7 linked regions of the Coturnix japonica genome follow. The protein of the gene in region 3 purifies or fractionates together with the protein of the main gene of each other region. This does not show direct contact. Links are inferred from orthologs where the notes say so. Each region holds a gene or a part of one and is shown on either strand. Other genes may lie near its edges.

Region 1 (4,463 bases), on a different chromosome or scaffold from region 3:
TTTTTTCTTCTTGGAAGATTTGGATCTCTTCTCTTTCGGTGGCTGATCGTCGCAGTCGTCGATCCCGTTTGCTATGTGGCACAGGTCGCGGCTTTCACTGGTCCGCTGCCGACGGGGTCTACGTGAAGATCTCTCCGGCTGGCAGGACTCCATCTTTGCCTTTTCTAGAGGCTTGTCGTTCTCAGACAGGTCTTGAAAACACTGAGAGTGAGTTTCCATCTGTCGGGCTCTGTTCTCTACCAGTTCCAGCATCTGAGTAACTATCTGAATTTTTTCATCTCCCAGTTCTTGACTGTTGATTAAAGCACGCTGGAGATGCTGCTGCAGGCGTTTCTTCTGAACGGGATCGTTCTCAGACTTGTATTTTTCATAGACATCGTCTATTTCTTTTAAAGCTTCTACAAAACAAACACAGTACGAATAATTACACGAGATAGAAGGTACATATCTGTATTTTGTTGAGCACGTTCAAACGGACGTGAAACAGTACAAGTTTTAATTACAGTATACCCCAGTGGGCTACATCAGGTATTTAATTCAAGTTACACCTGAGCATCAAGTCAGTGTTTAAGGTGGTAATCCACTGCATAAAAAGCTTCTCAAGTTCTAAGAAAAAGCAAGATGCTTTTGAGCACTGGATAAAGGGAAGGGTAAGCCCAGAAAGGTGAACGCTGCTGCCAAAGCCAGAATGGTCCAAATTCTGACTCAGCATCTGACAAAGCAGGATTTTTTTGCTGAGGTTCCATATTAGAGTAGTTACAAAGCCCTGGCCTACAAACCAAAGCTTCTCATACCATAGGAAGAATCTCAGAATTCACTATAATCGTGTAACCATCACATTACAATCCAAAATTAGGATATGCAGGTCCTCTGCCTCCTCCTTTCTATACACGAGGGTTTAGCACTACCTTTTCAACAGCCCTTAGTTACAACAAAGTACCACAGTGGAAGCTACATATTAACAGATGTACAATCAGGATCTAAGACAACTTAAACCACTCCAAGTGGTGCTGGTTGTACCAAGAAGTTACATCCAGTTGTGTGTTACATTGAGGCAGAACTTGTCCTCCACATTTTCCCTTTTGATGGATTTTAAAATACTATTTTCCAGACGGAAAGCGACACTACATCTACACAAGAAAGACAGAGGAACTGCTGAAGCAGAAGGAACTAAATCAGTGGAGCTGACAGCGAGATGTGACGGGGTGCTCGATACAGCACCGATCCCTTCACAACTAACTTACAGGTCTGTAACGGGTAAGCGAATTTATGAACGATACTCAACTGATTCCACAACCAGAATGGACACGGAACAATCTCTCATCCTGCACAGCTCTGTTTATAGGCTGCCTTTCATTTTTAAATTAAACGCTTTGTGCAGTTTTAGAATGATTCAAGCTCGCGCTAAATGGAAGCCACGGTTATTATCTCAGCGTTGCTCACAGTGATTTCTTTTCCTGCTGACATCCTGAAACAGCACCTTAAGAGGGAACGGTCACTTTTTACTATAAATACTGAAATCTGTATGGAAACAGTAACCAGCAGCACTTTGTTCTACTGCAGACCTTCACCAGAGGAAGATGAAGTCAGTGCTCTGCCCATCTAATAACTCACAGTGCCAGTACTCCAGCTGTCACTGAAAACACAGGTTTCGCTTTCCTACAGCTTTCAGCTGCATCTGTTGCCTTGACAGGATAAAATATTTGCTCTGAGAAGTGCCGAGTAAGGCACTCTGTAGTCTGAACAACTAGAAAGACTAGAAAATGTGTAGTGACAGAGCGACAGGTTCACTGAAGTACTTCCTTATTAACCCCTTATTAATTAGAGGAGGTACCCGTGTCCAGCTAGACAGCTTTAAAACCTCTGCTTAAAAAGGAGGCTAAGAAAAACAGACCAGGACCAAGCGTCCATTACAGTTCATCTGCTTGAGTTTGGTGGAGCTGAGAAAAGAGAGTTCCAACGCTGTCAGCACGGAGCAGCTGTGCAAATCCTGCAGGCACCAGCACTCCATCCTGACCGCCCCGTGTGCCCCCGGCGGGCACGGCCCCCATGGCGGGGCGGAGCACAGGGCTCGTAACGGCCCCGCAGCCCCGGGCACACCTCGTGCTCACAGGCGACAGCCCTGCCTGCTCGGCGCTTCCCCTTCCACCCCCCGCCGGATTTCAAGCTGAGCGGGGAGGCCGGGGCCTAACGCCGCAGCCCGGAGCCCCGCGCCCAGCGCATGTGCGGCGGGCGGCCGCCTCCCCCCCACCCCGCGCCGCCCTCCCCTCCCCTCCGGTCGGTCCCTCCCTCCCGCTGCCCCGCGGAGGAGGCCGAGCCCCGGACCCACCTTGGCAGCGGGTGTCCACCTCCCGCAGCAGCGACACGTTGCGCTGGATGTCCAGCGGCAGCGACTCCACGCACTCCAGGTATTCCTGCACGTACAGCGACAGCAGCCGGGCCCGCTCCCCGCCCGGCGCCGCCGGCCCCGCCACCAGCTGCGGCCCCGCCAGCATCATCCCCCCGCTGCAGCCGCTCCAGCCGCACATCCACCGCCGGCACCGGCTCACGGGGCAGCCCCCGCCCGGCCCGCTCCGCTCTGCCGCCTCCTGCCGCCTGCCGCCCCTCTACCCGCGAGCGGCCGGACCGCTCAATGCCGCGGGACCGGCGCACCGCCGGGCCGGACCGACCCACCCGGACCGAGCCGCCCGCCTCGGGTCCCGCTCAGCGCCCGGCGGAACGGCCGCCGCCACAGCGAAACCCACTTGGAGCCCCCGCCCCTGGTCGCCTGGCTACGCGCATGCGCGAGGCCCTGCCCTTATAAGGCGCGGCTAGAGGCGCCGCCAGGGGTTCGCATTCTCCCGCCTTCCCCTCTCGCGCGCTCCTATTGGCCCGAAGGGCGGGGGGGCGGGATATAGCGCAGGGGCGGAGCCTCCCTTAAAGGCACACGCACCCTGCTCCTCCCCCCGCTGACGGCCGGGCGCCGACTCCGCGGGGAGCGTGGCGGGGCCGCTCCCTGCCGGGGGCACCTGCCGTGGCGGCGGGCGCACGGACGGCCGTGAGGCGGAGGATCGCCCCAGGTGCCCCGGCAGCGCCGCGTGTGGGCGGGCGGCGGTTGTGGGGGCGTTGGAGGCGCGGATCCGTTCGTCAGCCGGCTGCTCTCAGCCTTGGCTCTCGGCTCGTGCTGCCCGGCTGTCCCGGCACGGCGCTATGCCGAGGTGTGGAGTAATGGCCCGAGTCAGCAGCGTGGAAAGGAACGGAAACAGGGGGGTGGGCAGAGCTAGCGGAGGGTCGGAACGTGAAGGGCAGCGATGAGTCTGAATGGTCGCGGTTCTGTGAGGAAACAGAGCTGAGAAACAGATTCCTGCCATGCAGCGTAGGAGTAAAGCAAGATACAGCGTTAATTACAGACTGTGTGCTGCAGCCTGATAGCCCCGTGACACAGCTGCACCTATCAGGTAGATCCAGACTGCAGGCTATTAATTAAGACTGTTAAGAGTTAATTACCAGGACGCATTCAAGAATTTCTCAACACGCCGAGTTACTCTATGCTGATGTAACACCTAGTGCCACAGTTAATTACTGCTGTGCTATGAAAAACATCTTGAAGGATAGTGAATAAAGCCATGAGATAATTGAGTTCACGCGTTTGAAATGACACCAGTCACCTGATGGAAGCCTGGCTTAAGGAATTCGTAACACTGTCACGTGTGAGGATGTTTTCCTTCCCACGCAGGGAAATAAAGGTGGGAGTAACTCACTGCAATTCTTGCCCTAAAAATGTCTCCACTGACTACAAGGGAGCGCAGGTCTATTGTCACAGATGTCGGCAAATTGAATTCCATTCCGTATGCTGAAATGGGGTAATTAGGCGCCTACAGTTACCAGCTACGGATGTGCCATTTGTTATAGACTCGGTAAGGATTTGGGTTAGACTTGTCAAAATAAGGGCAGCATCTCCGCGCACACCATGTACCTGCATTGACGCTGGCCTCACACAGCTTTGGATGCAGCCTTTCACTCTTGGCGGAGCAGCCGACGCGGATAAAGTTGAGCCACAAAACGGGATGGCCTGAGAGTGAGCCCCGTTCTGTTGGTGCTGCGGCCCGGCTGCCGGGTCGCTCGGCACTACCTGCGTGTCTGTGCCCGTGACGATGGCCCGCCCCGCGCTCACCCGCTCGGCCCGGAGGCGTCTCGGCGGCGTCACGTGGGCTGCGGGGCGGGGCGGGCGCCCGCGGCGCGTGGCACTCTCTGCCTGCGGTCCGGGGACTTTCCCCTAGGCGGGCACTGCGCCCTCGAGGAACCAAGTGTCCTCCGTGCGTGGCCTAGAGAGCAGGTCTTCAGAACATCCCACCAACTCTGTCCCACAGAGACTATTTATCTCTCTGTAAATAGGGTTTCTGTAAGGTTACGGTGAGTTCGCACGTAGTTTATACCCCTTTCCGACCTCAGAGAACTCTGCACTGACATTGAAGCCGCTCAGC
Region 2 (4,653 bases), on a different chromosome or scaffold from region 3:
GGTCTTCCCAGCTCTCATTTTTATATGACTTCATGGGGTAAAACTGAAAAACAGTGAAATAAAATGAGCAGGGGGGGGGGAGGAGAAGGGGGCAGAACATGCCTATAGCTGTGGGACTTTAAGCACCACAGCAATGCCACCTGCAACTCAGTATATGCCATCACAGAAACAGTGATGAGAGTGAGAATCTGGGTGCTGTGTTTCCATGGGCTTCCAACACAGAGAAAATGGGAACAATCTGATTTCTGACTGGAGGTGAAAAAAAAGGCCATCTCGGGACATCTTTTGCAGCACATACTCTTTGGAGAATAGTATTTCTGCCTCAAGAACCGTGAATGATGCCATTAGAACAGCAACTTCCAGCTGACAGCTATGCTGCAGACCTATCTTTAGAAGGTAGAGCTGTTCCAGGTAAGATTTAAGGGCCTGTGCATGTTCCCTTAATTTCATTAGAGGCTGACTCGGATGAGCAGGCTATCGCTGCTTCAAAGGCACTAAAGCTGCCTCGGTGCTGATGGGTGTATGAAACATTGTTTCTCACTTCATTGCAGCTCCCACAAAGAATTATTAGATCAGGTTAGTGATAGATACCTAATAAAGAACGGCTCTGCGAAGCAGTTTATTTTACAGCCAGCAAGTTCTGGTCTAGCAGACTGTGAAATCTTCAGGTTCCCGTGAGGATAAATATGCTGAAATAGACTGCAGTTATATGAAGACCTCCACCTGCTTTTTTTTTCTGAGAGACTGGAAGGATGTGTCACTGTATTACCCTGAGCTGGAAGTAGCTGGCATTGAAATAGCAAACAGAAGCAAGAGGAACATTTATTTTCCCCCTTAATAGATATTTCAAGGCAACTTGGGAATAAAAAGAAGGAAGTGCACTAAGACTGAGCCCTGCCCTCAGTATTTATCCTGAGACACACTTGGTGATGCAAGGGCTGCTTGGAACGTGTGTATTTTAGTGCTTTTTGGCTGTCTGAGAGGCCACAAGCATTGATGTTGCTGTCTGTATTTCACATGGGTAACTTCAGCACAGCTCAGCCTGCTCTGAAGTGCATCTTTTCACATGTATGTTCCATGTGTACGAGCTCAGACCTTGCAGCAATACATTATCCTATATCACACTGTTCCTCTGTGTCTGAGTTCCCTGTGTATGAGCTCAGACCTTGCAGCAATACATTATCCTATAGCACGCTGCTTCTCTCCTTGTACAACACGTCTTCTCCTCAGCCAGATGAGCTGATTTTGCTCTTCCCATTGGCAGCAATATGTACTGCCTGCAGTCCCGCAGCTGACAGCACATCCTAAGGTGATTTACCAACATTTCCCTCTCAGTTGTGTAATTAGAAACGATATTTATTCAACACTATCCCCTCAGGGTCGGGTGCTGCTTGGAGCGTGTCTGAAGGAGCTCATAACGAGGGCAGCAATGCACGTTCACCCCCAGATTTGCTTTTCCTTGTTTTTGCTGTGTTTTGTGGCGGTGTTTCATTAGCACGGAGCAGCCTGTGGGTGCTGTGTGGGGTGGCGGTGCCGGCTGTGTGTGGAGGCCGCTGTTTCTCTCTACCGCGGTGCCCTGGCAACGACGCCCGCCCCCATCCCGGCCTTCCGGCCGCCGTGTGAGAGCGGAGGAGAGGAGGAGCCTGTGTGTATGGGCAGACAGACGGCAGCGCCTCCCAATAGGATCACACAGCGGCACTGCTCTGCCCCGCCGTGTCTGCAGGCGGGGAGCGGGACTTCCGCCGCCGGGGAGGCGGTTTTGTGTGTGAGAGCTTTGCGAGCGGGGTCCCGGCTTTACCCGAGGGGCAGCGGAGCTTCTCGGCTCGTTGCGGGCACCGATAGGAGCGAGAGGCGGCGGCTCCTTCCTGAACCGCTTTGGGGCATCACCCATCAGGGGGTCCCTGCGGGCGTGGGGGGCCCCCGCGGGCAGCAGCGGGGTCCCCCCGAGGGCCGCTCGCTGAGGGCGGCGGCTCCGTCCGCGGCTGTCGGCTCCGCGCTCGGGGCCGAGGGGCGGGTGGGTGGGCGATGAATGGGTTCAGCACCGAGGAGGACAGCCGGGACGGGCCGCCCGCAGCCCCATTCTACGGTCAGAGCTGCTGCCTCATCGACGACGGAGATCGCTGTGTGCGGCCCGCGGGCAACGCGTCCTTCAGCAAGAGGATCCAGAAGAGCATCTCGCAGAAGAAGCTCAAGCTGGACATCGATAAAAGCGTGAGTCGCGGCCTCCTGCCTGACACGGGGTGCCCCGGGGGCTGGGGGCGAAGCACATCCAGCTCTTGGCAGTAGGGCACGGGATGCCCTGCCGTAACACTGCGGCGGATTGAGGGACGTGGTGCAGAGGGGAGAGCAGCAGGGGTTGTTTAGGATGTGTTCAGAGCAGGGCTACAAAGCTGGTGAGGGGTCTGGAGCACAGGCCATATGAAGAGAGGCTGAGGGAGCTGGGATTGTTCAGCCTGGAGAAGAGGAGGCTCAGGGGAGACCTTATTGCTCTCTATAACTTCCTGAAGGGGGGTTGTAGTGAGCTGGGGGTTGGCCTCTTCTCTCGTGTAATCAGTGATAGAACTAGACGGAATGGTTTTAAGCTGCGCCAGGGGAGATTCAGGCTGGACATTAGGAAGTATTACTTTTCAGAAAGAGTAGTCAGGCATTGGAATGCACTGCCCAGGGAGGTGGTGGAGTCACCGACCATGGGAGTGTTCAAGAAACGCTTGGATGTGGTGCTGAGGAATATGATTTAGCCTGGAAGTATTGGGAATGGTCCTTAAGGTCCCTTCCAGCCCGTGCCGTCTGTTTGACGATTCAATGAGTGCAGCACTGGAGCGGATCACTTAAAAATAACCCATTGCATCAAACTCAGAATGTGAGGTGCCTTTTAAATAGAGCGCTTGCACATGTGTTGGCTGCTTGGCACCGAGCGGCTTGGTTCGCTGCTGGCTGCTTTGTGCCACCAAGTGACAGCTGTCAGCTCAAGATAGAAACGGGCAGAGGACGCACAGAGCAGAGAATGCACAGAGCAGAGAATGCACAGAGCAGAGAATGCACAGAGCAGAGAATGCATAGAGCAGAGAATGCACAGAGCAGAGAATGCATAGAGCAGAGCAGCGGTGGGAACTGCAGAGGGCATTTCTCAGAAGTGAGACTGTTGCCGGAAGTCTGCTCTGCCTGTTGTTCTTATCTGATCTCAGATCGAAAGCACTGAGAAAAATAAAGAAGGCGAAGTTCCGAGTCCTTCGGTTTGGCAGCTTCTTCTGTTGGCTGTGTCCCTTTTACGCAGCCAAGATACAGAAAGTGATGGGAAGAAGGGGAGTAAATTTGAACTCTCTGGGGTTTTAGGGATGAAATCTTGTTTCTGCTGGTCTCTGTGCCGTGGGTTTGTGTGCTGCTGCAGTCACTTCATTCTAGGAAGTAAGTCTTCATTGCCAGGTTAGAGGCTTCAGATATAAAAAGAAGGAATCGGATTAATGGAGTGTATGAAGTGTGCTGCATGAAGGCATTTTGAATGCAGGGCGTGTGCATCACTTGGAGATATTCGTATTTTATTGCTATCAAATAGTTTTGATCACTCGTGGTCCTTTTTTGTGCTGGTTCTAGTGAGATAATCCCAGTTAAAATATGGGGCATCTGTGACAAGGAAAGCTACAGCAAAGGGATGCTTTTGCTGTTGGTTTGCCTTTTAATTGAGCTAAATAGCCAACTTCTGTTTTGTCTAAATTGATCATCTCACATTCTGCTCGAACCAGAAAGTTCGCAAGTCTGGAACAGAGCAACATTTCTCTTGGTAGCGCCCTGACAGTAATTCCTAAAGCAGATGCATTTCCTCCAGACAGCACACTGTTTTTTTCTTCTGACATGTGATTACACCCATAAAAAAGAAATATGTTATCTGCAAAGGTTCGGCTGCAGCCCTCGAGTCCTTCATTTTCCTTGTTTTTAGTGTTCGTAGTGCAGGTAATCTTTCATGCCTGGGCTTTAAGATTAGAAATGTCTTAATGTTAGTCACGAGGCAGTAAGCAGGTACTCTGTAATACAGCTGCTTGAGTGGATGCCATTTTTACACTGCCTGTTTTCATTGTATTGTTTTTCTTTATCACTTCTGCTTTTTAGGTGAGACATCTGTACATATGTGATTTTCACAAGAACTTTATTCAAAGTGTCCGAAACAAACGGAAAAGGAAAACAAGTGATGATGGAGGAGACTCTCCTGAGCATGAGACGGACGTCCCGGAGGTCAGTAGCTACCGGTTGTAGCTTCTTTACATTGTACATCTTTACATTCTTTACATTGGTTGTAGATTCTTTACCAGTTTGGAACATGGTGAAATTTCACTTGGATATTTTCAGCACCACCAAAACTACTGTGAAGTTGCCCTGATTTTTTTTTATTTCCAAGACTCAGCTGTTGTGTGATATCCTGGTTTTCTTCATCATCCCCATAGGAATTCTCCGACCGTGTAAAGCTTTCTATAAAAAGAGGTATAATAATGTGACTGCACAGCTTAGTGTATGTACCATTTCCAAACAGGGAGCTGCTGGGTTACTTTACCTTTTTTAGATAAGAAAACATTGCTTCCTTTTTTTGAAGCTAATCAACTCATGTATTTACAGAGGGGACTGTGCTCCCAATGTGGTTCTTAGTTCAAAGGCTCTGGAACA
Region 3 (4,387 bases):
GCCCTATGATGGGCAGCATTCTCCATGCGGACTTTGACTCAAAGCATTTAGAAAGCCCCAATTCAAATTGCATCATCTGCGATGCTTAATTGGGGAGGGAAAAATAAAGACTGCGAAATACAGCATGGTCTGGGTGAGACTGAGAGCAAGCCACAAACTTTAGGTACTGTCCTCCAATAAGAGCATCCATCTATATGCTCAGCAATGGCTTTACAGAGCAAGCTCCACTCTATAGAGACCACATGGACCTGCATCCCCTCCCTCCCAGCACCAATCTATCTTTTAACTTCAATCAGAGCATCTCCTTACAGGAATACACCCCTCCACAGGAGGATAAAAGCTTTTTCACTTTCCTTTTCCTGGGCTGTAAGTTCTCCCCTTGCAGGAGAGCAGTGAATAGTGCAGGTCTGCTGCGTGACACCTGTTGGAGCCACAACACTTCTGCACACACAAATGATGCTTTCAAGAACAAGTTGTGAAACCCAACCCCACAAGAGAGATTTCAGACCTTGCAGATGCAAACCCGAGACACTCCTGAAACAGGGGAACAGCACAGCTGCCGGTCAAGCATCTAAGATTTGCAGGAGCTGCTTTAAAGCCCTTAGGAGGCTGCAGAATGCCAGCTACAGGCACCTTGTGAATATGAACCTCTAGAGAGGAGCTCTGATGCCACTAAGAGCCAGAGATGAGGACAAATCCCAAGCAGAGGGACACTTTTGCATGTCACCTGCTGCCTGAGCAGGCTGGAAGGACACCCCAAACTCACAGATCCTCACATTAGCAGCAACGTTGCTGTCACATTGAATTTTAAGCGTTAGTACCTGGACTGAGCTGTGTAGAGTGAGGATGGTTTGCTCTTAAGGTGGAAAGGACCCAAAGCTTGGAAGCAGCCCATGAGTGGCTCAGGATCAGAGAGGTGACATCCTGGCTGCTTGCTCGTGGTATGCCCTGCCATGTGGGTTCTCCTCGAGCCTTGGCATCCTTACCTATGGTCTCCCTTCTCACATGCAGGCAGAATGAGAGCAGTACCTGCAGCCACTCTGTGACAGCAGAGCCAGGGGAGCTGGGAGAAAGCAGCACAGCACCGAGAGTGCACCCATAGCCCTGCAGCATGGAACAGCAGCCATAGAACTGTGTTGGCTTCACCAGCCACGATGGCTTCCCAGTATGTATGGCTCATACATGCTAGGAAGGTGAGCAACTCACTCCTGTCATGGTTATGCCTTTCCGACAAGCTCACAGCAGACTGGTGGCCATGAGCACAGCGTGAGCTATGTCTTCCAGCACCCGTACACAGCAGCGCTCTGTGCATGGCTTAAACGCAACGGGATCACGTTCTTATTTATGTACCACCTCGCTGGGCGTGCTGAAGGTTTCTATGCCCCCATTGGACACAGTGACCATGCATAAGTTGGGCTTGGAAGGGACCTGTGTAAGAGGAAGGGCTGGGTGCCCTCTGGCCGCTCTCCCTGCTTCAGCCCCAGCTTTACTCACGCTGCCCCTCAGCTGGGGGGGTGGGGAGGAAAGGAGTGGGGCTGTTCCTAACGCCGTGCTGTGGGGTTGGAACTACGTGATCCTCGAGGTCCCTTCCGACCCGGGTCATGCTGTGATGCTGTGTGGGAGCAGGATCCTACAGGTGCTTTGAATCAGCACAGGCTCCTCGTGCTCGCTTGGAAGCGCCAGAGGAGCCTCCAAAGCAGGAAGCAGGAGCCGTGAGGGCAGCGCTGCTGGGCCGAGCTGAGCCGGGCGGGGCGGGGCGGGGCGGGGCTGAGGCGGCCCCGCGTAGTGGGCGGCGCGATGGGCGGGAGGCTCCGTCCCGCAGCGCGCCCAGCGCCGCTCGCCCCGCCCGCCGCTCCCGCCATGCCGGGCTCCCCCCGCACACACACACACACACACGCGGGAGGCTCCGTCCCGCAGCGCGCCCAGCGCCGCTCGCCCCGCCCGCCGCTCCCGCCATGCCGGGCTCCCCCCGCACACACACACACACACACACACACACGTACACACTCACACTCACACACTCAGGGCTCAGCGCGGTACCGGGCCCTGCCCTGCCCCGCCCCGCCGGATGGCTGCTCCCCCCCCCTCAGCCCCTCACGGCGCCGCGTCCCCCCGATGCCGCCTTTCCCCTCACCTGGAGGCGGCGGTGCCCGGCGGAGTCTCGCTCCGTCCCGGCGCTGCGCTGAGCCCCGCGCTCGGCCCGCGGGGGAGGCTCGGGGCGCCGATGTGTGTAACCGCCGCTCGGCCGCCGCGGCGGAACGCTGCCCGCTTCTCTGTTCCCCGGGAAATCCCGCCCCTCCCCGCCGCAGGGAGGGGGGAGACCCGCCTCGCGATTGGTCGAGCCACGCGTCGCTCAGCGCGCGGCCCAATCGCCTCGCTCGGCCCGCCCCCTCCGCCCGCCCCCATTGGCCGCGGCCGCCAGGAAGGGGATGTGGAGAGGAAGGGGAGGGGGGAGCGAGACCCGAGAAAAATGTCCGTACGGCCGGCAAGCCCCGCCCCCTCCCGCCCCCGCAGCCTTCCCATTGGGCGGCGGGCTGAGGAAGCAACCAATCAGCGCGGCGGACCGCTCCGCCGTCACGTCGCGGGGGGGTATAAAGCCACGCCCCCTCTCCGGGGAGCCCTTTTGTGGATGTTTACATCGGGGCGGACCGGGCCGTGATGGCGGCGGCACCGACCGCGCGGGACCGGCACGCACCGCCACGCCGCCTTTGTCCCACCGACCCCACACCACTTCCGGGAGCCAGCACGTGGGGGGGGGAACACAGCCAGCAGCCAATGGCCGCGGGGGGCGGGACCGCACGGCGGCGGAGCGGGCGCTCCCCACCCCCTCCCCTCACACACACACACACACATACACACACATATACACACACACATACACACACACATATACACACTCACATACACACACACACACACACAGCCGCGCTCCCCCCCCACTCGTGCGCGCTCCCGCGGCGACCGTTGGGCGGGCGGGAAAAGCGCGGGAGCGCGCCTCGCTTCCTCCCCCCTCAGAGCTCCCCGGGCCTTCCCATCCCATCACACCCCACATGAGGGGCCCGCTGGGCGGGCAGCGCTGTGACATACCCTGTGACATACCCTGAGCGCGCAGCGAGGCGTCCTGAATGGAAACGGGAACTCCCCCCGGGGCCCATTGGCCCTACGAGGCCGTTCGTCACCGCCGGACCGCCCTCGGGGGGCTGATGTGGGGAGGAGCGACGAGAAAGCAGCTCGGAGGTGAGATCGCTCTTCGGTTTGCTCGCTTAATGTTAAATACCACAGGGGAAAAAAAAAACCAACAAAAACACCCCCAAAAAGCTCCTCCCCCACGCTCCGGGATTATAAAAAAATAAGAATATACACATTCCAAGAGCTTATTACAGTATAAAGTTCCCGATGCAGCAGCTTGCGCTGGGAACACAACCCCCCCCCCCCCATCCTTCAGGGCTGTTCTGCGTACAGTCTAGATGGTCCCACCGAGAAACGAACAAACAGACCAAAAAGGAATAAAAATCATAAGAAAATAAACCATCCCAACCCACCCCCCCTCCTTTTCTTTTTGTCCCTCCTGCCCCGGCTTGCTTGAAGTTAAGGCACAGTTCCCAGCTGGCAGGGCTGTGTCAGTGCCCGGCCGAGCCCTTGTGGGCGGCAGGCAGCAGGCCGCGGCGCTGGGCGTGCTCCAGCACTGCGCTATAGCAGAAGTAATACTGCTCCGGGGTCTGGATGCTGAATGCTCTCTGTGTCCTCATCCGCTGCACCGTCTGCTGGATGTCCAGAGTACCCACATCCTGCAGCTGCGATAGGCAGATGTCCAACGCACACAAAGTACCTGGGGATGAAGGCAAGCAACGCTCAGCCAACACAATGCAATGCAACACCCCCCCTGTGCTGGACTGTGCTGGACTCCTTACCCGTCCTGCCGATGCCGGCGCTGCAGTGGACCACAAGCGGAGGACCCCCCGGGTGCCCCTTGAAGCGTGGTCCCAACGCACTGACAGCCACACGCTGCTGCTGCTTCACAGCCCCCAAGAAGTCAATGAGTGTTGCTGCCGATGAGGGCACGCCGTAATCCGGCCAGCTCAGGTATTGGAAGTGAGAGAGCAACCGCCGCTCCTTGCCCTAAGGGTGAGTGGGGTGGTCAGTGGGATGGGATAGCCCCGCCACAACCTTAGCACATAACCTTAGCACACACCTCGGCACTGTGGAGCTCTAAGATGGTTTTCTTGTAATGGCTGAGGTTCTCCACGCCCAGGTTGGTGATGGTCAGCGCCCCAAAGCGCATCTGGAAATCCTTCTCCAGGGGCCAGTACTGGCCGCACTTCCTCCTGCCCCCCTCCTCCAGCCTGCGGATGAGACAAGGTGACACGGGGATAATGTTCTTCCCTGC
Region 4 (3,943 bases), on a different chromosome or scaffold from region 3:
GTGGCTGCTCCTGCTCCTCCAGCAACCATGAGTGGGGCCCTTTCAGCAGTGCTGGGACCTGTGGTGCCAGAGATAAAAATCAAAGAGGAGGTGGAACCTATGGACATAATGCGACCGGTATCTGGTAGGTGGTTTTTGAAGCATCAAGGTGTTTCTCTTGTTGAGAAAGTGGATAAATTAGGATTTCAACACAAGCAACCTGAAAATGGAATGACTTCTCTTTCACAGTAGCACAGAAAATAAGTCAAGGAGTTCCTTCACGCCTCACTTTCTTATAGTTCTGATCCCTGCCTACTGCTTTTCAATATAGAACAAGGGACTTGGTTTTGTGACATGACTGAGGTATGACATGCTATATGAGCACAGTATGAAGTCTTAATGGCCCAGTAAATAAAATGGAAAGCAACGATTCAGGTTAAGCTGACACAAGTTAGTAACTCCTAGAAGGAAAGGGCATTGCAGCGTCTGAGAGGGTTCCTGTCTCAGGTACTAAGAACCGCAGAACAGCAACTAGGTGAGCATCTCTAGGTTCTAATTTGCCTTGTTCTCCTTGATCTCCTGTGGAAACCACTTGGGGTTGGAGCTGCTTTCTTCATTTTCAAACAGTCCAGTTGCAAAGAGTGTATGAATTGCATGCTTAGAACACAGTCAGCAGCAGAGCCAGTATAATACAAACCAGTGCAGTTAATCTCAATTGAGATTTCATCCCAGACATTTGCTGTGTATTACGTGGCACGCTTGGTTCAGTCCCTGCAAATGTAAAGGGTTATTTTCCCCTCAGGCTCCCGCTGCTGTGCTGCCAAGCTCCAGCAGTCTGTTGGTTTGTACAGCAGCCTGCTGACACTGGCTGTTGACTTGGCAGTATAAGTGCACTGACAAGGAGAGCACTGCAGTCATGGTTTGACTACATCTGCCTCTACCTGCACTGAAGAGGGGACTTGCCTGTTTTTGATTGTGATCTGTGGTGAAACATCAATTCAAAGATGTTTTCTTTACTGACCATGTGAGAGATATTAGCACAGGTTCCTTTTCAATAGCATTCAACTGCTGCAAGCCTTGAAGGTGAAGGAACTGAGTGAGAACAGTCTCTTGTCATTTTTTGTTCTGAGGATCTTAGAATACAGGCATTGTCCTAGTGATGAGTCCTGGTTCTCATATACTAAGGGATGAACTGCATCTGTGGTGGAGCCCATGTTTCTCACAACGCACTGAGAGGAGATGGTGTTAAAACACAGTACTGCTACCTCTGTGCCACTGGTAGTTGAGGTTCTTCTCCTTTCTCTCCTTCCAGCAGTCCCTCCATTGACTACAAGTACTGTCTCTCCATCTTTGGCACTGCTGGCCAACAACCTTTCGATGCCTCCAAGTGATTTGCCGCCTGGTGCCTCCCCAAGGAAAAAACCCCGTAAGCAGCAGCACGTCATCTCCACAGAGGAGGGAGACATGATGGAAACAAACAGCACTGATGATGAGAAATCTACTGCCAAAAGCTTGCTGGTGAAGGCAGAGAAGCGCAAGTCTCCTCCCAAGGAATATATAGGTAATGCCATCTCTGACACTCTTCTCCTACTTGAACATCTGTGTTTTACCTGTTGCCTGTCACGATTGCTGCCGTGCTGGTCTCCCATGTCACAATAGTAACACAGCTGTCTGTGATCCCTTTTGTAGATGAGGAAGGTGTGAGGTATGTCCCGGTGCGTCCCAGGCCTCCCATCACATTGCTCCGCCACTACCGCAATCCTTGGAAAGCCGCCTACCACCACTTCCAGAGATACAGCGACGTCAGAGTGAAAGGTCAGTGTGCTGCCTGAGGAGCTGCATGGGCTGATGATGATGATGATAAGCTGCCCCACAAGCAGGCTTTGCTCACAGTATGGAACACAAGCGTTGGTCACTCACGTGAGCTAATGACTTAGTTAGCTAGATGTTGCTTAGATCTTTTCTCTCTCAAGACTGAGAAGAAAAGGGGAGGATCTTCTATAGAGTCAGATACAATTCTAACTGTCTGGTTAACCGAAAATGTTATGTTACTGAGAAATGTATTTATGTACAAGGATAGAAACTGCCTAAAGAAATTCCTAAATAGATTATATAGCGGTAGGCTATGGCTTGGCACTCAGATTGCCTTACTACCTAACAGTGCTGCCAATGTAATCAAAAGCGTTCCCTATTTAATGAGTCTCGTGAGCTAACAGATGGGCCTGGTGCGTTTCTATGGGATGTTTCTGATAGTAAGAGGAAAACTGAGATCAGGTTCTGTGATTTGGACTTTGTGGCTGGTAGGAAGGAGCAGATAGGTATTGCAGCAGTGTGAGATGGACTGCTTGCTTCTTCATGTACAGTGTTGGAAGCAACACCTCGTTTTAGAGGAAGAAAGGGAAAATCAACATTGCAAACAATAAAAAATGATCTGAAAATGCAGATGAGCCATTGGGGGGTGAGAGCAGCCTTCAGGTAACGTGGCAGATGAGTCGTTATGTTCCTGTCCCAATCAAAGTGTTGCTGACTCTTCCTTAAGCAGGATGTGTGGAAAGCAGGAGCTGGGTTAAAGCTTTTGTTTGAGAACAGAGGCCTGGTGGACTCCTGAAACTTGAACCTCTATTTGTGTTTTTTGGTGACAGAAGAGAAGAAAGCCATGCTGCAGGAGATTGCCAGTCAGAAGGGTGTATCCTGCCGTGCACAAGGGTGGAAGGTCCATCTGTGTGCGGCGCAGCTGCTGCAGTTGGTAGGTGCATGGGACGTGCCGGCTGCCTGTACCGCGGGGAACACGGAGCTCTGTAAGGCAGGATGTTATCACAAACTCAGTACATGCTCACCTGATGCAGGGATGCCATAAGCTGGTGTGTAGCGCCCAAAGGGAGTGGGACACGCTTTTCCCCTTTCTCAGGAATGTGGCGTTAAGTGGCTTGGAAACTTAGTGTTGGTTTTGATCCAGACATAAGAGCTGATGTATTTTGTACAGATGATCAAAATTGGCAACTCCCTCCTGCTGATGCACAGGTCTGAAGAAGCGTCTGTTTGGGATGGTGCGGCTGATCTGAGGAGGCAGCACTGATCCACATTCCTGGATGCTTCTGTTTCAGGTTGGGGGTGAGGTAGGTGCTCTGCATTCTAGCACCAAACTCCCCAAAACCTCTGCATTCCTGGAATAGTATTGTGAGAGACAGGGGAAACAGTTCTGGCTAGGTTCCATGTTTGTTCAGAAGTGGAGCAATGCTGTGAATAGGATGTTTAGTAAGAACAATAATGCCACACTCAGCATCAGAGGCTCCATCTTCTGAATGACTAACATGAGCAGCTGAGAGGGGAACAGACGATTGTCTTCTCTGTGTAGATTTCATAATGTGGGCAGATGTTTTATGGGCCCGGTGGTGAACCTGCTCATGAAGTGCTGTTGTCTTGTAGACAAACCTGGAGCGTGACGTGTATGAGAGACTGACGGCCTTACAGGAGGGGCTCATTCCTAAGAAGAAGGCAGCAACTGACGATGACCTGCATCGAATCAATGAGCTGATACAGGTAGGCTCCTACTGGCCCCTAAGCTCAGAAGAACTCTTCTACCTTTAGTAATTGCAGCAGGATGTTTTCCAAGTAAGTGCTGAATCTGGCTTTAAAAATAACACAATAATAAAGGTGCTTCTCCTGCGTCATTGGTTAGTGGGGGCTTTATACAGTAAAGGTGTTTGTTGTGACTGTTTATTCTGCTGTTGGTGACGATAACGTTTTATTTCAGGGCAATATGCAGAGATGTAAACTCGTGATGGATCAAATCAACGAGGCGAGAGACTCGATGCTGAAGGTGTTGGATCACAAGGATCGTGTTCTGAAGCTTCTGAACAAGAACGGAACTGTCAAGAAAGTATCCAAATTAAAGCGGAAGGAGAAGGTCTGAAGCCAGAATAATGACTCTGGAAATGGAGGACGTGTACAGGACGGAGTTACG
Region 5 (3,943 bases), on a different chromosome or scaffold from region 3:
ATTTAAAAAGTAACCACTTTAAATAAACATAAAGTTGTTACTAAATTATGTGAGGTATTTCTCTCTTCCCATGTTACTGTCCAACAACAAAATCTAGCAACCAAGTTAAATAGACAATACTATTCTACTCATAATATTTGCAATATTTTTGTCTTAAGTGAGATTTATACATTCTGCTGCTTGCTAAGCTTGCAAATATTTTGGCCTGGATCTTTTAAAAGCCTTACATAAAGCTTTATAAAAATGGTTACATATTTTTAATTAGACTCACTAACTTCAGCAGCACTAACCATGAGAAAGAGCAGCACACAGATCTCCAGAAAACAGGAGCCTAATCACAGCAGGGAGGTAATTTGAACTTCAAATCAGACAAGAGTAAAGTTAATGAGCACACATCAGATGCCTTATCTGATTACAAACAGAGTAACTTACCCTGATTTGTCTTTTTCGTCAGCCTCTGCATTTATGGTAGGATTTTCCATTTCTTTAATCTTTTCCTCTTCTTTATCTTCTAATTTGATTTCATCTTCAGTTTTGATTACATTCAAGTCCTTTTCTTGGTCAGGCTGCGTATACACTGAATCTGGTAAATTTTTTTTGTTCCCCTAAGACAATAAAACCTTCAGTTAATTTACAAGAAAAAATAAGAATTCAGAGGATTTCAGAAGAACAAAATGCACAAGTTATTGTGAAGGGAAAAAGAAAGCACTAGATTCTAGGGCTCTTTCTAAAACTACAGCATTTCCACTGGTTTTATGTTTGAAATTCTCAGCACACATACAGTAGTCCTTGGTTGAATCCAATCTCCTAGGTTTTACTACAGCAACATTAGCACACAACTCTTAAAACAGTTCACAGGATATGTCTGCGCTCAGTATGCAGAAACACCAGCATTAACGGTCACTGTGGAGTTAGTAGCAGCAGACAGGCCAGGGCTGGTGCCACTTGCATACATCACAGCTAAGTTGCATATTGACTTGAAGAACTACACCACTTCCAGAGCAAACTGCTGTACCTTCACTGCTCAGCTTACCACCTCAGTTCTCCTTTTCTAAAACCACTGGGCCAGTATTGAGTTTTGAAAAGGTAAAAAGATTTGTCTCTCTGGATTAGTGAAATAATTATGCCACTGCATACACCATATCTCTCTAGAACCTGGGAGGGCTTAAAAGCCTAGCTCAATACAAAATAGAAGTATCAGCAGTGAAGATAGTTGTAAGCATGCATTATCCAGATCACAATACAGCTGCATGCTAATCAGTCCCCATTTGACTCAAGAGTGCCCCAAACAGGTGGAAAGCTTCATCTGCTTCCTGCCAATTCAAAGACTTTGACACCATGAACCTCTAAGACAGACACTGAAGAGACAAATATTGCTCAAAACTAATCTACAGCATGTTATTTGTCTAGTTTTAAATCAATTACAGAGATTTGTCTTAATACAAACTCATAGTTATCAACACATTATCTGCCTTTATCAACAGGATATAACATGAACATTAAAATATTTTACCAGAAGCACGGGCTTATCATTTTCTTTACTTTCATTATCATTCTCAGCTAGCTTTTTTTCTTCTTGTTGTACTGCCACTACTTCCTCCTGCTTGCGCTCCTCCTTATCCGCTTTTATTTCTTTTACATCCTGCTCTGGATCTTCACGCATCTTTAAATCTTTTTCTTTTTCACAGTCTTTACAAGGCTTGCTTGTCACTTTCTCTGGTAATGCCATTTGAAATTCAATATTTGCTGATGTACAGTACTCTTCAAAGCCATAGAGATATCTAAAAAAAAAACCACACTTCTGATAAACAAGTTTTTTTTGAAGAAAAATTGTGTTACCTAGCAGAAGCTTAATAGAAGAAATATATTTTAAAGCTTACAAAGACTGCATTACAACCAAACTTATAGAATTTATGTATATTGCCACCACTATCACAAGAACTCTATTTCTTTTTAGTGCTGTTTTAGCATAAACTGTGTGGCTTTATTACTTACTTTTTGTATGCACATTTAACATTGTATCCTGCAGCTGAATTCAATACAGGGATTCCAAGATCTTGATAAACTTGTTTCCACACTGCTCCACTTTCAATCTGTTAAAGCAAATGTAACAATGGCTGCTGAATTAACTGACATACAGAAGACCAAGCTGACAACATCTACAATTTCATACAATAGTATTTAATTCTCTCTACAAAATCTCTATTTATTGTACACTCTACTTTGTAATGCAAACTGTAGTCTAGTGTAACTACTTGTTGCAATTTAGCATTTCTGCACTTCAGTAAGCCACAGCTGGCCTTTCTCTCTAGGTGGTAATAAAGGGGGAAAAAATACAAAGATCAGCACAGTTAAAATAATTCCTGAAATATCACATCTAGAATTTTAATTAAATTGAAAAGAAAAAACCTCAAAGTATTAATAATACTACATCCCTGCAGCACTGCACCAGATAATCTAAGACTGGTAGCTACTGTATATCTTTAACGCACCCTTTGGTGTCAAAGCTTTGTGACAGTGTGACATGCTCATTTCTCACCATCTGTGAAGGTAAAAGAGATCTACTGTGATACTAAGTACAAGATCCTCCCTTCTATAGTAGAAAGGCGGCACAGCACAAACCAACCTTCTCAGCTGACAGGCTAGATTTACGAGAAGTAGCTCAAAGCAGTAACAGAATCTACTTGACTAAGAATTCCCTATGCATCAACTACTGCACCAAGATGAATTCCTGTCAGCATGTTCCTCTATATATTGCCCAGAATAGGTAGGAGTTAAGTGCCTCACAACCAACTTGAACTTACAGTTACTTGCCTTTGGGATTTCACTGAGCAGCAACACTTTTCACTTCAGGGTAACGATTTTATTAGACAGACGTTTCTTGAAATCTCACAGAAACACACTGATTTTATGCTGCAGTAATAACACACTCAGTAGACAATTTATTTAAAATATAACTAGTTTCTGGTAGAATTCAGTTTTAATATCTGGAGCTGCTACACAATACTTTATTCTTTATTAAGGAAAAACACCACCCTTAGACTTTATAGATCAGTAATACTCACATTATCAAATCCTCCAAGCTTATGTACAAGTCTGAATAATTTGAACAGATTCAAATTTCTATATCCTAGTACAGGTCGTTTGTTAATAGGAGTCCCTGTAAAGACAGACAGTTATTACTGTGTTTTGAAATATCTTTTTGAGAGCAACATGAAATCTACTCCACATATGCTACTACACCATTAAATAGTACGGTAAATTTTCTGACCATCTGGTGCATCTACTATTTATTTTTTGTGAAAACTAAAACTCATGAGGTTTAATAAGCCATTTTGCCTGTAGTTCATTAATACAAATAAATTCATACATTTGCATTATTCGATATATTAACAAGTATGCACAAACGATGCAACTTCTCTTGCTTCTTATATAAACATTTCTATTTCACCCACTGAAAAAAAACTGCCTCTAAAAGAACCAGCCTATTCCTGCTGAGGGGCAGAGTTAACAGACAGACTCATCTTCTGAGAGGATGGGAAGCCAGACATGTGGGATACAGTCTCACTGTTTCCAAAAATAAACCGTACAGTATTACTAGTTCACAGACTCAGGTCTTTGAAGCACTGCTAAGCAATACCTCTAAATCTAACAAGTCAAACACGGAAATGTGTACCTCTGTCTTCCATGAACTTGTATAATTGCTGAAGAAAGTTCTCCCTTTCTTCAGGAAAAGGCTCTAGTTCCTCCTGTTCAAGGAAAAAAAAAAAAAAAAAAGCACACAAACATTTTACCCTTGTGAGTTACAGGTTGTCAATAAGAAAATCACTTAGGTTCAAAAGTTTAAGTTTGTTTTTACTGCAGTCAGGAACAAGAAACTATACAAACAAAATTGGCCTCAATGCTATGTCACGTGGAGTTTTATATAGCACACATTTTCAAC
Region 6 (3,943 bases), on a different chromosome or scaffold from region 3:
TGCATCACCGATAGAGATTCTTCTCCCTGCTTTCAGCCATTTCCTTATGCGCATCTGTTTAAGCACAAGGGCTGCTCCAAAAGTAATGTCTCCTATTCTATTACGTTAGCTCACAATGCCAGAGGCCAACAGAAAGAACACCATATGCAAGTTTATCAGGACCTACTGAACTAATACAGAACTGACAGTTTCCTGGACAGCATAATGACCAGCAATGAGATGTGGTGTGTAAAAGCTGGAGTCAAAACAGCAGCCCATGGAATGGCAACATGTCAATCTCCCATAGAAGAAAAAGTTGAAGATGCAGCTCTCAGCACGTAAAGTGCACTGCCTTGTAGGACACGACATAGGTGATCCTTCTGGATTTCCAGAAAGCCAGACATACCATCAGCTCTGACTGCTACATCACCATGCTGACTAAGCTGAAGGCTCAAATATCCACAGTCAGGTCAGAGAAGATGACAGCCTTAAGCCAGGCCCCATACCAGTTTGAAGACAGTGGAGCACACTGCCAGTCTTGGCTGGACTGTCCTACCACACCCACCATATAGTCCAGATTTGGTACCTTCTGATTTCCATCTATTTGGGCTGATGAAAGATGGGCTGCACAGGCGCTTTTTTCCTAGCAACACCACCATCGTAGCAGCTGTGAAACAGTGGGTCACCACTGCTGCTGCAGATTTCTATGAGCGTGACACACAGGCTCTTGTTCATTGCTGGAAAAAATGCATAGCTAATGGTGGTGACTATGCTGAAAAACAGCATTTTGCAGCTGAGAATTTGCTCTACCAAACAGCGTTATTGTGCTCTTTGTATCTGTTGCAGTTTCCATAGAAATAAAGAGGAGGCACTACTTATGGAGCACAGAAACTTCTTGTCTTGCACACTTAAATCTCCACATTTTAACTCAATTCTCCTTAACTCTGCCCTTTTCTTTCCCCCTAGTATTTTCCTAAGTCTGTATCATTCAACGCGTTGAAAGCATTTATTATTGTTTCATAAATGCATTCTTTTTGCATCATTCAACAGCTCCAATCAGAATTAAGAGTCCGTTCCAGACAGTTTCTTCCACATGAGCTCTCATGTTATCTCCTCAGGAGACACCCCATTAACTAACCCACTATAGACACAGCAATACCACACCCAAGAAAATTCAAGAGGAAAGTTCAGCAGTGTGGTAACTCAAGATGTGTGTGCGGAGTGAGGGGGGGGAAAACACACCCCCTTCCTCCCCATATCTAATAGCAACTTGCTCCACTGACTATAGATGGTCTAACTAACCATCTACTACTCACACTGCTTTCCTCCCATGCTTCCGCAGTCTTAAAAACTTACCCAGGAGACAGTTTGGAGAGCACTACCTCCTTGTTTAATTGTAGACATTAACTTTTAGTATCAGCTTCTGTTCATATAAACAAACAACACTGAAAAGGGTCACAAGCATTTTATAAAGCAAACACTGATGGACAGACCGCCTTGCGTTTAAGTAGAAGCATAAAACTCACCACTCCTCATCTGTACTCATCCACTCCTCATCTGTACTCATTTGCAGGGATTTACTTTATTCGTTCTACCTGTTTTCTAGTGCCTAGATTCCAACATCTTCGCTTTTAACTATTACAACTTAACTATCATCGCATGTTGAAACGTGGCTGGATTTGAAAAAAGGGACAAAGTGGACTCTAATGAACTGTCAGGAATTCAGCTCACTGCTGGCCAAAGAACTTGGAAAACCTCACCAGATACAGGATCATTTTCACATAAGATAGAAGAAAATGATTAACTTTTTGAAAGTAAAAGCTGTAAATCCAAGTAGCTGTTCACAAAGTCATGCAGTTCCCAGGAAGGCATGTTAACACGTCCATCATTTCAAAATGAAACACATGAATCAAGCAACCAAACCAGCATTCGTACCAGTAAAGTATAAAGAACACACCAAAAATAAAGTGCTTAGAAAAGATGAGTTACTAAAACCTTATTCAAAGAAGTGATAAATTGCTCTTACCGTGCTACCACCAAGAACTGGTCTATCTGCTTGTCTACTAGTGGGTTGAAGGCTTCCCAAACTTTTGTTTCAAGTTTTGACTGATCTCTTCCATCATCCTCACCTGGTTGAAAAACATGTTAGAAACGCTCAGCGTGGCTGTTTGGAAATAAAATTACTTGCCTGGTTTCTTATCTCACAATTATTTAACCACCAAATCAACTCAGATACTCTGCCTTGACAGTGAAAATTTCATTCATCCATTTGGCTGAGACAATTTCAGCTTGACAGATGCATCAACCCAACTCATCCAAATTAGGCCACCGGATGCTGAAGAGCTGATATCTAATGGCACAAGTGATGGGAAACAGAGCACGTCCTTCCCCCAAACAGCCTCCTCTCTTCAGCCTCCTCCCCTGATTCTCTCTCCTTCTCCTCTACCTGGCCGCAGTTCCAGGAAAGCAGGCACACTCCCAGCTGCTCTGAGCAGACAAAGGGTAGCTGGCCCTGTTTGCAGCAGCTGCTTTCTAAGGGGCAAATCATAGCATCAGATTCTTTTACTTCTACTCTCCCAATGCTAAACAAACCAAAATATCTTGGAAAAAATACAGGAGCTGAGTCTCTCTTTTTAATTTCAAACCCCTTTTGAAACATCTGGAGATTATCCTTCTCTGAATTCCCATGTTGATGGCTGAAGGAGGAGAATGCCTTTCAAATTAGTTCATCCTCACTTAGGAGGCCAGCCCAGCTGCCAAATAAATGCCACAGACAAATTAAACAAGAGTCCCAACCAATTTGTTGGCTTATTCTAACATTAGCCCAACAGTATCTGTTTTATGCATCTGCAAAGCTCTGAAGCAGACTGAGGTGCCTCACTGCTTTCACCTCTCTGCCTGGGGAGTTTTGTAGAGCCCCTTTCAACATGGCTCATAACACCAGCTCTCTGAGAGCATCAACAGATTGGCCTGAGCCCTACACAGGTCTCAGAGAAGAGCTCTTCCACCCATTGCAGTGCAAGAACCAGTGTGAAGCTGGTATCTGTTAACTAACAGCCCATTTTCCTGAGCATGTGTCCTTGTGTTCCTTCTGCTTCATGAGCAGGGCAGGCTGAGGTCTCACAACGTGCTCAAGGCAGCAAATTCCTCCTGCTTGTTCTGCAGGTGAGAAGTCTAGGCTGGAAGCCAAGAGCAGCAGACAGGCAGGGGGCTCTGAGGAAAAGGCATCCAGCAATAATGGGCAAATTGATGTGGGGAGACAGCATTTAATTGGCAATAATTTGGGAGCGGCTCTCACAGGGAAGCGAGGCTCGATTAAAAACACAAAGGCTATACAGATGCGATGGAAATCTGTGCTTCCCATAGAAATTCTGAAATCTCCTAAAATGAGCGCAAGCTCTGAGAGAGGCAATTAATTCAATTTGTTTCAACAACTTTTATGATTTGGACAAATGCCCGCTTAGAGCCTGGGCTGAGACACAACTAATTGCATGCAGTGGGCAACTGCTTCAGTCCCTAACAAACCAAAGCAGTGATGCACACAGGACGTGGTGGTAGGAACCTCTGTCTCCCACACAGGCTGCATACATAAAAGTGGCTGCATTCCACATGGCCTCCTGACAACTTAAATTATGGAAATTACCCTCTTTTAATAAGTCTGTTATATCTGCCTGGTATCTGTTTCCAACTCGGATTTCTCCTTTATCAGCAAGTAGAGTCTTTTGTTGAGGATCGTACACTAGTGAATAGAAGAAGAAATCCTAAAAATAGAACAAAAACAGAAAATAAAGTATTACTAGCTTACATTTTTACCATATTATATATAGTAGAAAGCTTTTATGCTAATTTGCTCACCCAGTCTACCCATAGCAAGTAAAAACAAATTACCAGTCCCCTTCTTAGCACTTGCTTAATAAAGATCAGGATGTGGCCTTTCTTGTCTCAGGGACACGCTGCTGACCAA
Region 7 (3,943 bases), on a different chromosome or scaffold from region 3:
TGGGGCAATGGCTCTGCATTAAAAGCACACTTCAGACACCGAAATTCCTCCCAGAATCCAGCAAGTATGACACAGATTGATTTATACACAAAAAGCTTAAGTCCCATTTACTTACAAGCAGCAGTTTGGAATAGGGAGTGTCTGAACAGGCATCACATGGAGTTATTTTCTGACCTGAGCTGCCCTTTCCTAACTCTGCTATTCACATTAACAGCACAGATACAGAACAACACTGCATGTGATGCATAAAAGAGTAAGTCCAATAATAGGACGCTAAGTAGTATTTACTGCTGTTTGTGACTGCTTTGTATTGTCCTCTTGCAGTGAAGCAAATCAAAATGACTTCTTCCATCCCTGCGATGTCAGCTACGAGCAGAGCTGCCCATTAAGCAAACACTGCTGCAGAGCAATGTGAGCTGTGGCCCTCAGGGGCTCTTGAAGCAGCTGCTGTCATCTCAGAGGTTCCCATTCGGGCTCTCACTCCCAGGACAGCTGCGTGCCCACAGCTGTGCTGCCTGCAGCAGTACCAGGGCTCGTGGCACACTCGGTCACAGCAAGAACCAACAGGAGTAAGAGGCAGCATTGCCAGCAGTGCTGAGCCAAGGGAAACCAGCAGGGTGGGATGAGGGCACGGGGAGCCCATCCAGCCCCGCTCTGCTGCCAGTACCTGAAACTACTACAAATAAAGCTGCCACAACAACAAGGTTCTATTTGCACCAGAGGTTTGTTTCCTAAAGAAGCCCCTTTCCAAATGATCCACCTCCTACTCCTTCTGGTCACTTCCATGTATGAACTTTCTGGACACACAAAGAAGTGCTTTAAATCCTGTACTACGTGTGAAGCAACCTTGGGCCCCCAACTGGATGGTTCTCTTCTATCGCAGCATCCTTCAGAAGAACATCACATAGATATGGTATTATCCCCATCCCCACTCCTTAACGAATTACACCCCAGTAATGAGCAGTCAGAGCTCCTCCCAGAGACAGCTCCATCTCAGCAGCAGAGGAAGGAAATACCTTTAACACAAAACCCTGCAAGTCAGGCCAGAACGAAGATGGTCATTTTAGCATTATGAGGGATGCATTCATCTGCCCTCATGGCCCACAAGGGGCGTTTCCTCACAGTGCCCCCCTCAGACCAAAGAAGGGTGTTGGGTGTTTTCATTACAGCTCTAGGAACAGCACTTTCCTTTTCCATACATATGGAAATACAGCCACTGATAGTCAGCAGCACATTAAAACATCTACCAGTCACACCCACAGATGGGTTCTACCAATACAGCGACTCTGGGAAGCTCTTCCAGGCAGACTCACCTTCCACGGCTTTTCAGGAATCGGAGGATCCTCAATTTCAGCATCTATTTCATTGGCATGAACCCAAGTGTCGTAGCTAATGAGAAGAGGCAGAGAAAACAAAATTGGTCCCCTGGGCTGCTCATCCACAGAGATCACCAGCAGGAATATTTATTCAGCAACTCTGACATCTGCAAATCACACCGCTGGGATGGAACGGTGAATTATTTTCCACTCAATGAAAGGCAAACAAAGGAGCCATCATTGGCTCCTGCTGTGGGAACAAGGCACTCTGAGAAGGGGGGTGCTGAGGCATCAGGGCACATTGTTCACTTTCTGATCGCAGATCCCATCTCAGCAATGCTTCCTCCTGCTGGGAAGTGCACATTTAGCCTCTGGAGTCAGGGCTGCAGCTCACGTGGAGTCACTCGTGCAAACCCTCTTAGTAAGTTAATTGTCTCTTAAGGATTTAAAGTAAGAGATACCCACACTCTTAGGAGAAAAACGAATGCATCCCCTTCTCCAATCCCTACAGCTGCACAACCCAGTCATTATTAAGGCACTTATTCCCCTCATAAATCTAATAGCTAATATTAAGAAACTGCACTCAAGACCAAACTCCCTGGTGACCCCTCAGGCACTGAGCAGCTGGAAAAGCCATCCTTCAGAAAATATGTGTGCAGCAGCTTTTTTATGCTTATACTGGTATTTATAAACCTCTTTAGAGACACACCTATACAGCACACACACCCTTGGTCATATGATAGAGAAATATTTAACAGTTCACCAGTACAAAGAAAGATGCTTAAGCATGACATTGCTTGCTCTCTCCTGCTGAAACATGTGTAGGGCACAGGAGAACACATCCGTGCCCACTGCTCTGCACAACAAGAGATGAGAGCAGCTGCACAGCTGGGACACCCTCCATGCAGGCACTGAGGGCAGAGCATGGCTATCAGGAAAGGTCAAACTTGGTAAGCTGAAGGAGCAGCTTGTCTGAGGACACGGACTGACCTAATGGCAAGTTCTAAGCAGCCCTTTGCTTTTAACTAACTTGAGACTTGAGGTGTGCTTTCCTCCCCCCCTTGATTTACCTGTCTGGAAAGAAGCCCCAGTGCACCAGCACCTGCTTGTCTTTTTTCATCACGGGTCTCAACCATTCATCTGCAAAGGGAAAAGAGATCTGGATCAGATTCAGACTGCAAAGTAGATAGCACATTATTCTGCTTTGCTATAGTCAAGCATAGGAAAGCCACTGCAGTTATCTCTGATTAAGTATATCGCAGTGAAATTACAGTGTCCTGACCCACAACAACAATACAGTTGCCTGCAATCACTTTGCTGTCATGAATAAACATTCATGTGCTCAGCTTGTATAAATCACAGCTATTACATTAGGAAAATCATCTTAATGCAAACAGTGATTGCCTTTCCCTCCCTGGCTGTACACATCCATACCCCAACCCGCTGCTGACTAACAGAGCCTGAAACACATGCAACCCTTGCCCAGACCCTGGAGCAGTGGTTACAGCAACGCAAACCTGTGGCTAGACATGTATTCCAGGAAGCACAGAACACACAGAAAAGCACCAATAGACAAAGGGTCCTCCATCATCCCAATGTGGAAGTGAATACTTCCCTCTAGTGGAGCTGGGATGCCAGGGCATACCAGGAACAGTTGGCAATGGCAGAGCACCAGCAAGGACCTGCTGTTTAACATAGAAATACATCAGAGCTCTTTTTGGCCAGGTTGGATGGGGCCCTGGGCAGCCTGGGCTGCTATGAAATGGGGAGTTTGGTGGCCCTGCCTGCTGGAGGTTGGAGCTTTGTGATCCTTGGGGTCCCTTCCAACCCAGGCCATTCTGTGACGCTGTGTTAAACCTGGTGGTTAGAAGCAGAGCACAGCAATTCTATCTGGAGTTTTAATCCTAAAATTGCTTTACAGGAGATCCCAGGAGCAGGTTAAGATCATTCAGTGCCTGTGCGAAATCTCCTATAGGTGCCAAAAGAATTTAGTTACAAAATTATTTCCACTTCCAAATAGGAAAGCATCTTTACCATCATCCATTGAGGTAGGACTTGGATACACGTGGTGGGTGGCCTTGGATTTCTCCTCAGTTACTGTTCCCTGTGGGAAAGATGGAGGGAAAAGACATCAAGTGAGCAACAACCTCATTCCCCCAAATACCAATTGTTTCCTTTTAACCCCATATCCCACACAACCCAGAAACACTGAAGGCTCATGGCAGCATATATAAGCAAAATGTCAGGCCTTGCTTCCTGCCTCTGCCAAACTGAATATGTCTGGAAGCGTAACCAGGTGGTGGCACACAGGTACAAATGCTAACCTTGCTCATCACCTGTTTTCAAGGTCCTAAAGTATCGTTCTGCTGCTTCTTAAGAAATCAACACTCATAAAGGAAATCACCACGAGGAACAGTAAGGACTTCAGGAGCAGACTGCAGAGCATTAACCCTCATCTCAGCAACAGCCAGCACCTGGGGTCAGCTCAAGAGCTATGAGTAACTCAAGAACAGCTATGCAGTTAAGGCTGAGATGATTCATAACCATAACGCAGCAAATACAGTGGAAATGTGGATAGGAAAGCTTTCCCTTTGGCTACCAGCAGTGAGTTCTCTCCTCACAAAGGG

The links.
Region 1: the proteins of SIN3A (region 3) and ING2 purify together in Homo sapiens (affinity purification with mass spectrometry; 5 studies listed by BioGRID and IntAct, counting the BioPlex papers as one, with this or other methods). This does not show direct contact. The link is inferred for Coturnix japonica from reciprocal best matches to the Homo sapiens genes SIN3A and ING2.
Region 2: the proteins of SIN3A (region 3) and SAP30L purify together in Homo sapiens (affinity purification with western blotting; 4 studies listed by BioGRID and IntAct, with this or other methods). This does not show direct contact. The link is inferred for Coturnix japonica from reciprocal best matches to the Homo sapiens genes SIN3A and SAP30L.
Region 4: the proteins of SIN3A (region 3) and SAP130 purify together in Homo sapiens (affinity purification with mass spectrometry; 4 studies listed by BioGRID, with this or other methods). This does not show direct contact. The link is inferred for Coturnix japonica from reciprocal best matches to the Homo sapiens genes SIN3A and SAP130.
Region 5: the proteins of SIN3A (region 3) and ARID4B purify together in Homo sapiens (affinity purification with mass spectrometry; 5 studies listed by BioGRID, with this or other methods). This does not show direct contact. The link is inferred for Coturnix japonica from reciprocal best matches to the Homo sapiens genes SIN3A and ARID4B.
Region 6: the proteins of SIN3A (region 3) and MTA1 purify together in Homo sapiens (affinity purification with mass spectrometry; 3 studies listed by BioGRID, with this or other methods). This does not show direct contact. The link is inferred for Coturnix japonica from reciprocal best matches to the Homo sapiens genes SIN3A and MTA1.
Region 7: the proteins of SIN3A (region 3) and SMARCC1 purify together in Homo sapiens (affinity purification with western blotting; 3 studies listed by BioGRID, with this or other methods). This does not show direct contact. The link is inferred for Coturnix japonica from reciprocal best matches to the Homo sapiens genes SIN3A and SMARCC1.

The regions. Positions count from the first base shown.
Region 1 is NC_029519.1:35,244,463-35,248,925, forward strand, and holds the start of ING2 (inhibitor of growth protein 2), read right to left. Parts: upstream 2,861-4,463; 5' UTR 2,529-2,860; coding exon 2,330-2,528; intron 399-2,329; coding exon 1-398. UniProt on the Homo sapiens protein: Seems to be involved in p53/TP53 activation and p53/TP53-dependent apoptotic pathways, probably by enhancing acetylation of p53/TP53. Component of a mSin3A-like corepressor complex, which is probably involved in deacetylation of nucleosomal histones.
Region 2 is NC_029528.1:5,890,325-5,894,977, forward strand, and holds the start of SAP30L (histone deacetylase complex subunit SAP30L), read left to right. Parts: upstream 1-1,705; 5' UTR 1,706-2,025; coding exon 2,026-2,211; intron 2,212-4,104; coding exon 4,105-4,227; intron 4,228-4,653.
Region 3 is NC_029525.1:1,983,106-1,987,492, forward strand, and holds the start of SIN3A (paired amphipathic helix protein Sin3a), read right to left. Parts: upstream 3,155-4,387; 5' UTR 3,098-3,154; coding exon 3,088-3,097; intron 2,299-3,087; exon of another isoform or gene 2,135-2,298; intron 1-2,134. Other genes in the region: PTPN9 (tyrosine-protein phosphatase non-receptor type 9), read right to left, coding at 3,621-3,829, 3,912-4,119, 4,193-4,343. UniProt on the Homo sapiens protein: Acts as a transcriptional repressor. Corepressor for REST. Interacts with MXI1 to repress MYC responsive genes and antagonize MYC oncogenic activities. Also interacts with MXD1-MAX heterodimers to repress transcription by tethering SIN3A to DNA.
Region 4 is NC_029524.1:1,643,546-1,647,488, forward strand, and holds part of SAP130 (histone deacetylase complex subunit SAP130), read left to right. Parts: coding exon 1-124; intron 125-1,291; coding exon 1,292-1,540; intron 1,541-1,668; coding exon 1,669-1,794; intron 1,795-2,621; coding exon 2,622-2,725; intron 2,726-2,962; coding exon of another isoform or gene 2,963-3,055; exon of another isoform or gene 3,056-3,095; intron 3,096-3,405; coding exon 3,406-3,519; exon of another isoform or gene 3,520-3,520; intron 3,521-3,733; coding exon 3,734-3,892; 3' UTR 3,893-3,943. UniProt on the Homo sapiens protein: Acts as a transcriptional repressor. May function in the assembly and/or enzymatic activity of the mSin3A corepressor complex or in mediating interactions between the complex and other regulatory complexes.
Region 5 is NC_029518.1:34,299,093-34,303,035, reverse strand, and holds part of ARID4B (AT-rich interactive domain-containing protein 4B), read right to left. Parts: intron 3,750-3,943; coding exon 3,677-3,749; intron 3,161-3,676; coding exon 3,066-3,160; intron 2,094-3,065; coding exon 1,996-2,093; intron 1,782-1,995; coding exon 1,514-1,781; intron 606-1,513; coding exon 433-605; intron 1-432. UniProt on the Homo sapiens protein: Acts as a transcriptional repressor. May function in the assembly and/or enzymatic activity of the Sin3A corepressor complex or in mediating interactions between the complex and other regulatory complexes.
Region 6 is NC_029523.1:3,943,263-3,947,205, forward strand, and holds part of MTA1 (metastasis-associated protein MTA1), read right to left. Parts: intron 3,741-3,943; coding exon 3,623-3,740; intron 2,109-3,622; coding exon 2,006-2,108; intron 1-2,005. UniProt on the Homo sapiens protein: Transcriptional coregulator which can act as both a transcriptional corepressor and coactivator. Acts as a component of the histone deacetylase NuRD complex which participates in the remodeling of chromatin.
Region 7 is NC_029517.1:709,593-713,535, reverse strand, and holds part of SMARCC1 (SWI/SNF complex subunit SMARCC1), read right to left. Parts: intron 3,421-3,943; coding exon 3,351-3,420; intron 2,457-3,350; coding exon 2,387-2,456; intron 1,390-2,386; coding exon 1,314-1,389; intron 1-1,313. UniProt on the Homo sapiens protein: Involved in transcriptional activation and repression of select genes by chromatin remodeling (alteration of DNA-nucleosome topology).